2 linked regions of the Saccharomyces cerevisiae S288C genome follow. Each later gene encodes a partner of the first gene's protein in a complex. Each region holds a gene or a part of one and is shown in the gene's direction. Other genes may lie near its edges.

The links.
Region 2: ASH1 (region 1) and DOT6 share a complex: the UniProt entries of both Saccharomyces cerevisiae proteins name them as parts of the RPD3C(L) complex.

What each region holds. Positions count from the first base shown.
Region 1 is NC_001143.9:92,480-96,793, forward strand, and holds ASH1 (DNA-binding transcription repressor ASH1), read left to right. Parts: upstream 1-2,019; coding exon 2,020-3,786; downstream 3,787-4,314. Other genes in the region: MTR2 (Mtr2p), read right to left, coding at 265-819; ornithine decarboxylase SPE1, read left to right, coding at 4,278-4,314. UniProt on the Saccharomyces cerevisiae protein: Component of the RPD3C(L) histone deacetylase complex (HDAC). Responsible for the deacetylation of lysine residues on the N-terminal part of the core histones (H2A, H2B, H3 and H4).
Region 2 is NC_001137.3:332,676-337,063, reverse strand, and holds DOT6 (Dot6p), read left to right. Parts: upstream 1-1,875; coding exon 1,876-3,888; downstream 3,889-4,388. Other genes in the region: type 2C protein phosphatase PTC2, read left to right, coding at 1-1,118; Arf family guanine nucleotide exchange factor SBH1, read left to right, coding at 4,234-4,388. UniProt on the Saccharomyces cerevisiae protein: Component of the RPD3 histone deacetylase complex RPD3C(L) responsible for the deacetylation of lysine residues on the N-terminal part of the core histones (H2A, H2B, H3 and H4).

The sequences.
Region 1 (4,314 bases):
TGAATTATCCTTATCTGGCGTACCCGTGCAGCCGTTTCCGTGCCTCGGTTCCTCCGAGATATCCTTAGGGACCGCCAGGGACCATGATTGCGTCAACTGTTGTCACCGCTCCAGAGGATCCTCTGTAACCTTTTCAACCATAAAAATAGAAAGGGCACAGGGTTGGGGTATTTGAATTTTTTTTTTGGGTTTTTTCGTATTACTTATTACTTACCTTCTTTTCTATATAATTTTGTTTTTCCCTGGTAGAGCGGAATCTTCCCACTAAATTTTTAGCAGAGAATCCTCGGGTTTGTAAACCATGTTATAGTTAAACCCCGATATTACACCATTAAAATCATTTCTAAATATGCGGTCGTCGATGATCAGCTGCAGGGAAATGCCAAAATATGGACCCCATAGAGGTCTTGGCTTGTTCATATCGTTGGGTCGATTTCTGTTCCCAGTGTTATTTGGTTGAATGGGAACAGTCGCGTCTTGCCCCATCTTGTCTCTGCCGCTTTCGTCGAATCTGACTTTGCAATTGACGTTGCATATCAACGTGCCGGATCCCGGAATAGCGTGATAGTCTACTCCTGTTAGGGCATGTTGTGTTTGTACGACCTGGTTTTGCCACATTTGCAGAAAAACTGTTGCTTGCGCGAAGGGGGTAGCATTAAATATTATTCTGCAGTTGTTTGGATTAAAAAGCTGTACGAATTGGGCCAATTTGTTGGAGTCCGGATCATCCAAATGCGCTAATATCTTCTTCGTAAATGTGGCCGTTATTTGTGCTTGATTTGCGTCATTCATTACCATAGTATTACTATTGGTGTTCATATTTCTGTTATTACTGTTATTAGTTTGGCGTTTTGCCTGACGATCAGCCTGGTGGGGCCAAGTATATACTATAAAAACAGGTTAGTTACTTGCTCTATGCGTTTGCGCATCCTCTTTTTACTTTTTTTTTTTCAGTAAAGCCTAAGCATAAATCGTTTTATACGTACGACACGTTCAACTTTTCTTGGTTAGTAGTGGCAATCTCTGCAATACATACAGGGAGTCATGGTCTATCATCTTGTCCAATCAAAGAAGCATCGGTTCAGATCGAGCAAACTGTAGGGAGAAAGGAAAGTAGAAATGCAGAGTGTGCTATATGTCCAATCTCGGTTTTGTAGTTTGGATGTCATTAGAGATCTACCACCCAACCGGCTGCTTTCATGTGGAACAGAAAAGAAATCGGGGCGCTTCCTCTTCTGTATTCCTTTAATTAACGTTTTTATTCAGCCATCTAACCATCATACCCCCATACGGTAACAAAACCTCTTCTAAGAAAAGAAGTCTCTGCTCCTCCGCCATCTTATTTTTATTCGCTGCGCGCGTTTATTGTCGCATCGCTAGCCAGCAAAAAGTTGGTTGCCTTTTTTTACCTAAAAAAGACACATCTAACTGATTAGTTTTCCGTTTTAGGATATTGACGCCAAGCGTGCGTCTGATTTCTACGATATGTCTCTAATTTTGGAAGGGCCATTTTATTTTTGAGGATTGGGCTGATCATTTTCCTTACGTGGATTGAGCCAGCAATACAGATCATTATTAAACTGTTTTGTACATGATGTTAGTATATAATCGTAAAGCTTTTCTAATATGTATACCTTATACATGGAACTCCACAGAACTTGCAAACATACCAAAAATCCTTTATTCTTGTTCACTCATTTTACATCAAAAAATAATATTTCAGTTATTAAGGAAAATAAAAAAATAGATTAGAGAAGCATTTTGAAGAAATAGTATATTCTTTTATTGAACCTAAGAGCGTGATATTTTTACTCGAAATAAAATACGAAAAATCTATACACTCATCTTTCCGACTACTATTGGCTCCTGCTCAAAAAAAGAGGGAAAAAAAGCTCCAAAATTCTATCTTTTCCTATCGCTCCTGTCCTATCCTTATTACGTTCATTACTATTTTAATACTATCCATTCTTTTATTTTCAGTCTAAAAAAAACATTTCTCATAACGGGAAAAGCAAAAAAATGTCAAGCTTATACATCAAAACACCACTGCATGCATTATCTGCTGGTCCGGATTCTCATGCAAATAGCTCCTATTATGACAATCTTTTATTGCCTTCATTTTCCAATTTATCCAGTAATATCAGCAGGAACAATATCACAACCGATAACAATATAAATTCAGCAAGTCCTAGGAAGTATTCGTTTCATTCGCTCAATGTGTCGCCAATTCTTTCCCCAATATCTTTGGCTAACGAAATACTTGGAAAAAAATCAAATACTGCACCAGCATCGCCACATCATATGGATTACAATCCAATTTCCTCATTAACACCAGGCAATTCACCAGAATTCAACAAGGCAAGCTTATCTCAGATTAGTTTTACAAATCCATTGAACTATGGGTCTGGCTTAGGTTTTTCCTCTAATTCACAACCTCGACTACCATTGTTAGACAGGCTATCGTCCGTCTCTTTATCTAAGAGACCGGAGCGCCCACAACAAAGCCTACCATCACTAAGGCATCTGCAATTATTACCCAGTCCTCTTTTACAAGAAAACGCAGCACGCTTCCCTGATACATCAAAACGTACATCTAATTGGAAAACTGATCTTACCCATTGGTGTAAGGATACAAACTATCAAGACTATGTTAAAATACGCGAAGAAGTGGCTCATTTCAAGCCATTAAGTATACCCAACTTAACTAATAATCAAAATAATGATAGTTTCAATTACGGCAAGGAATTGGAATCGACTAGGTCGTCCAAGTTCCATTCCCCGTCTAAGGAATCATTTGATCGTACCAAACTAATTCCTTCGATTCTAGAAGCTAAAGATCAATTTAAAGATCTTTCCAACAATGCATGGAGTATTACTCCTCCCGTCACACCGCCGATGAGTCCACCAACCAATAGAACCATGGAGCGCACGACGCTTAGAGGAGTAGAGGCCTCTTTTTTTGAGGGGAAATCCAGCAATAACGATTCAATATTCAATCCAATTATTAGTGAAAAATTGGTTCAAGAAGTTAAACATCAAAGACAATTACGTGGAAATTCATTTCCCATGCCAAATGCCAGTCACAAAAAGACGAACAGTTTCAAAGCTTTGCAAATAAAAAAATTGCTTGCGAATAGAGACATTCTATCGAACAATTCCAAATCTAATGTAAGGAAACCATCTAAGAACAAAATCTCAAAGCAAGCATCAAATGTTTTCGGTAACACTGCAAGACAATTGGTGATGAAACTCGACAACGCTAGTTACAGTTCTGTCTCTGCATCTTCATCTCCATCTCCCTCCACACCGACGAAAAGTGGCAAGATGAGATCAAGATCATCCTCACCTGTGCGTCCCAAGGCATACACTCCAAGCCCAAGGTCACCCAATTATCATAGATTTGCTCTCGACTCTCCCCCTCAAAGCCCTCGAAGATCATCAAATTCAAGCATAACGAAAAAGGGAAGTAGAAGGTCCAGTGGCTCATCACCCACTCGTCACACCACAAGAGTGTGCGTGTCGTGTCATTCGAGTGATTCGCCCTGTTGGAGGCCATCGTGGTCGCCAAGAAAGCAAGATCAGCTATGTAACTCTTGTGGTCTTCGATATAAAAAAACACATACAAGATGTTTGAACGATTTATGTCGTAAGATCCCCACAAAGGGTGAAATAAACATTATGAAATCCAATGGAATAGACAAAGAATTCGTCCCCGAACGCAACTGCGAAATTGAAGGGTACCGTTGCTTATTTTGTAATTACATAACTGAGACAGTAGAGAATTGATACATGGATAACTGAATCTCTTTCAACTAATAAGAGACATTATCACGAAACAATTGTACATTTCTCTCCTTGTCTGTGCTAAATAAACTACAAATAAAAATTCATTTTCTTTCATTTTCATTCGACACGCCGCGGCATCTTCGTTTTCTTCACCGATTAATTTTAATCTGCGCCGTGCAGATATTTTCGCCCATTTCGAAGTGAAATCATTCTAATAACTTCTCCTGCGCAATAGATTGGTCATCCTGATTTTTATTCTGAAATCGAAAATGAAAAGCATTTATTGCACTGAAATAGCGGAACCTGCTTCTAATAAGCTTAAAATTCAATCATAATAGTGTAGTTAATAGAAAGGACAGAAGAACTTTTCGTTCCTTGGTTTATCATCCAGGTTTCAGCACGGCTTTTGTTTCAAGTTTAAGTAGGTAAGATTTTTTGATTGTTCTACAACTTTTTCATAGTAATCAAAACCTTTGAATTTCAAACTTACTATGTCTAGTACTCAAGTAGGAAATGCTCTATCTAGTT
Region 2 (4,388 bases), on another chromosome or scaffold:
CAAGGGCTTTGATTGATACTTTCATAAACACAGACGTGAAACTGTTACAAGATCCTGTGATGAAAGAAGACCATAGCGGATGTACGGCTACATCCATATTAGTATCAAAGTCCCAGAACTTGTTAGTATGTGGTAACGCTGGTGACAGTAGAACCGTACTCGCCACCGACGGGAACGCAAAGGCATTATCATACGATCACAAGCCCACTCTAGCAAGCGAAAAATCACGTATTGTGGCAGCTGATGGCTTCGTAGAAATGGATAGGGTCAACGGTAACTTGGCGCTCTCTCGTGCCATTGGTGATTTTGAGTTCAAATCCAACCCCAAATTGGGCCCCGAGGAGCAAATAGTGACATGTGTTCCGGACATTCTCGAGCATTCTCTAGATTACGATAGGGACGAGTTTGTAATCTTAGCCTGTGATGGTATCTGGGATTGTTTGACTTCCCAAGATTGTGTGGACTTGGTTCATCTCGGCCTTCGCGAAGGCAAGACATTGAATGAAATTTCTTCGCGGATCATCGATGTCTGTTGTGCTCCCACCACAGAGGGGACGGGTATTGGATGCGACAACATGAGTATAGTGGTTGTCGCGCTGCTGAAAGAAGGTGAAGACGTCGCTCAATGGAGCGACCGTATGAAGTCCAAGGCCCACCGCACATCAGTGCGTTCTTTTGCAGACAAGAGAAGAAGGGTGTTTAGTTACTACGATTTTTCCAAATGTAACGACGAACAGGTGTTCGCTATCACTACGAAGAAACCTCAGGACAAATTCACTCGCGACCACGAAGCCGCTGTGGCCTCGGTGACTGCCGCCGATAACGACGATCCAATGGACATAGACGACACGGACGCTGACACAGATGCAGAAAATCTTGACCCTTCCAGCCAATCCAAGAGCAAGACCTCCGGCCCCATTGATCTAGCATCCTTGGAGGCGCTACTTGGTGCTACAGGAGGAGTGAAGACAGACAGCAACGGGAACAAAGTCACCTACACTCTTCCCCAGTCTGCCTTGGCCCAACTGCTCCAAACCATGGGCCATGACCCGGCTTCCTCCCATCCCGAGAATGACAGTAACACTGACCACAAGGCCGGCCGTTCCCACTTGCAATGAAGGATCTTCCATCCTTCATTATATATACATACCTATATACGAACCGAACGAACAGAAAGAGAAGAGAAGACGCAAGACACCACCAGAACCAAGAGCATACACCACTACCACCACCATCGCTACCAACAGCAGGATATCCGGATGCAGTTTGACGCTTGAAGATGGTATTCACCTCAGGGGTAAACGCGCAGAAACTGCGCGTTTACCTGCAGCGACGCCACAAAAACGGACCGGCCCGGCCAGAGGGTGAGACCAGCAGCGGCCCCGTTGTGAAATCTCACCCCCAGTCCCGGATGGGCACGAGTCCCCAGCGCCCGTCCCATGAGGTCCTCCTAAGGTAGACAGCGCGGATGTTTCCGATGCAAAGGAGAAAGGATGGACGGTACAGACATCGTAGACAGGATTCGCGCATTGCCTTGCACATCTGTGCCCCATCCAATCTACCGTATCTATTGTTATCGTCGTGTGTGCTACTCTTTTCTCCGACAGCCTCGACAAGACGGAATCAGAAAGTGCACACAGTTTAAAAAGGAAAAAAACCGAGTACAACAAAAACAGGGACAGGTTTTGAAAAGTGTTCTTTTCTTTGCATCTTCTCTATTTCTTCTCTCTTTCGTCCTGTTTGGTATCTTGTTGTATTTTTTCTCTCTTTTGTAGTATATTTATCCGTGTTTCCTCCTTTTCACAGTCAGTTCATCCGACCTCATCGAATAGCTTCCGTGCACGTTCCAGTCTTCCCTCCCTTCTCTGCTCCGTGATGTCCATTTCAACCAGTTTGAACTCAGCTTCCATTCATTTGAGCAGCATGGACACCCATCCTCAGCTACACTCACTCACTCGTCAGCCACACTCGTCGTCAACAGCTATGTCCAAGAACGAAGCCCAGGAATCTTCGCCCTCTCTGCCAGCTTCCTCTTCATCGTCGACTTCGGCATCGGCATCTGCGTCTTCCAAGAATTCGAGCAAGAACCCTTCCTCTTGGGACCCTCAAGATGATCTGCTGCTACGTCATTTAAAGGAGGTCAAGAAAATGGGCTGGAAGGATATTTCGCAATACTTCCCAAACAGGACTCCTAACGCGTGTCAGTTCAGATGGAGAAGGTTGAAGTCTGGTAACTTGAAGTCGAACAAGACTGCTTTGATCGACATCAACACCTATACGGGCCCACTCAAGATCACCCACGGCGATGAGACTGCCAACGCTCAGCAAAAGCCCAGCAAGAAGGTAGAAGAAAACGTATTAACGGAAGATACTGCTGAGTTCACTACAACGTCATCCATCCCGATTCCCTCCAGAAAGACCTCGTTGCCTTCGTTTCACGCATCGATGTCATTTTCTCAATCTCCGTCCAATGTGACTCCCACTACGATTGTCTCAAACGCTGCTTCTTCCATGCCGTTCGCTCCTCCCACGCTGCCGGCCGCACTCCCTCATCATCCTCATCAACACCTACACCACCATCCCCATCATAAGACTCTAAAGCCAAGGTCAAACTCTCACTCCTTCACCAATTCTTTGAACCAAGACCCCATCGTTCGGTCTAATGATGAGGAGAAGTATGGATTCATTCCTAAAGTATTCGTTAGATCCAGAAGAAGTTCGTTTGCCTATCCACAACAGGTAGCAATAACCACTACTCCGTCTTCTCCAAACTCTTCGCATGTCTTACTAAGCTCAAAGTCAAGAAGGGGCTCGCTTGCGAATTGGTCCAGAAGATCATCGTTTAATGTTTCAAGTAACAACACTTCAAGACGGTCTTCAATGATTCTTGCACCAAATTCCGTGTCAAACATATTCAATGTCAACAATAGCGGCAGTAACACTGCTTCTACTTCTAATACCAACTCAAGAAGGGAATCTGTCATCAAGAAGGAATTTCAGCAAAGATTAAACAACTTAAGTAACAGTGGAGGTCCTACCTCCAACAACGGGCCCATTTTCCCCAACTCTTATACCTTTATGGATCTCCCACATTCTTCATCGGTGTCATCGTCATCCACTTTGCATAAGTCTAAACGAGGTTCGTTTTCTGGCCATTCTATGAAGTCATCGTGTAATCCGACTAATCTATGGTCAAAAGATGAAGACGCTTTGCTAATGGAAAACAAAAAGAGAAACCTATCCGTTATGGAACTATCCATTCTTTTGCCGCAGAGAACTGAGGTGGAAATTCAATGGAGATTAAACGCCTTGTCAAGTGATGCGGATATGTTGTCTCCTACACATTCACCTCAAAAAACTCTGTCCAAGAAAACTTGTCCAAGAATGTTCAAAAGTGGTTCTACCACTGATGATGACAAAGGTAGCGACAAAGAGGACGTTATGGGTGATGGTAGTAACGATGATGACGAAGATAATGTAGACCCGCTGCACCGTGCTAAACAATCCAGTAACAAGACTGTCTTTTCATCCAGCAGTTCCAACATATCCTCCAAAGACGTTTCACCGGATCCGATCTTTTCACCGGATCCCGCAGATGATTCATCGAATACTTCTGATGCTGGTTCTAGGTGCACCATAACCTCCGATACCAGCTCCTCGGCTGCAACCATGAATCGCACCCCTAATTCCAAAAACCCGCAAGATATTGCTTTGTTAAACAACTTTCGTTCTGAAGCCATTACTCCGAGACCGAAGCCTTCTTCCACAACTACATCCATCACTACCGAAACCACCAATAACATGATAAACCACTCTAGTTCTACAACTACTACCACAAACAACAGTCCGCTGCCAAGCATAAACACTATCTTCAAGGATATGCTGTGAGGGGAAAACTTAAAATGAAAAAAAAATAAAAATAAAAAAATATCAACAACAAAAAGAAAAATGTGAATTTAGCGGGCTTGTTCATTAAATTTCTATAGTTTAGCATATTTAAAAGTATAAAAGTTTCTTTGGTTTATATGACGTATTCATCCATTCTTCATTTCCGCTTCAACTATTTTTTTTCGTGGAACGCAAACAACGTTACCCTGAACTTTTCACATTGGAAAAGGAAAGCATCATAAAAAATCGTGTTTTTATTTTAATACACGGTAGCCTTTTGATGAAGGGAAAAGATTTCAACCACCACTTCAAAACACCACACTCTACCTCCTACCATACTCCATAATGTCAAGCCCAACTCCTCCAGGTGGTCAACGTACTTTGCAAAAGAGAAAACAGGGAAGTTCACAAAAAGTTGCGGCATCCGCTCCAAAGAAAAACACGAACAGCAATAATTCGATTTTGAAGATTTATTCTGATGAGGCTACGGGACTAAGAGT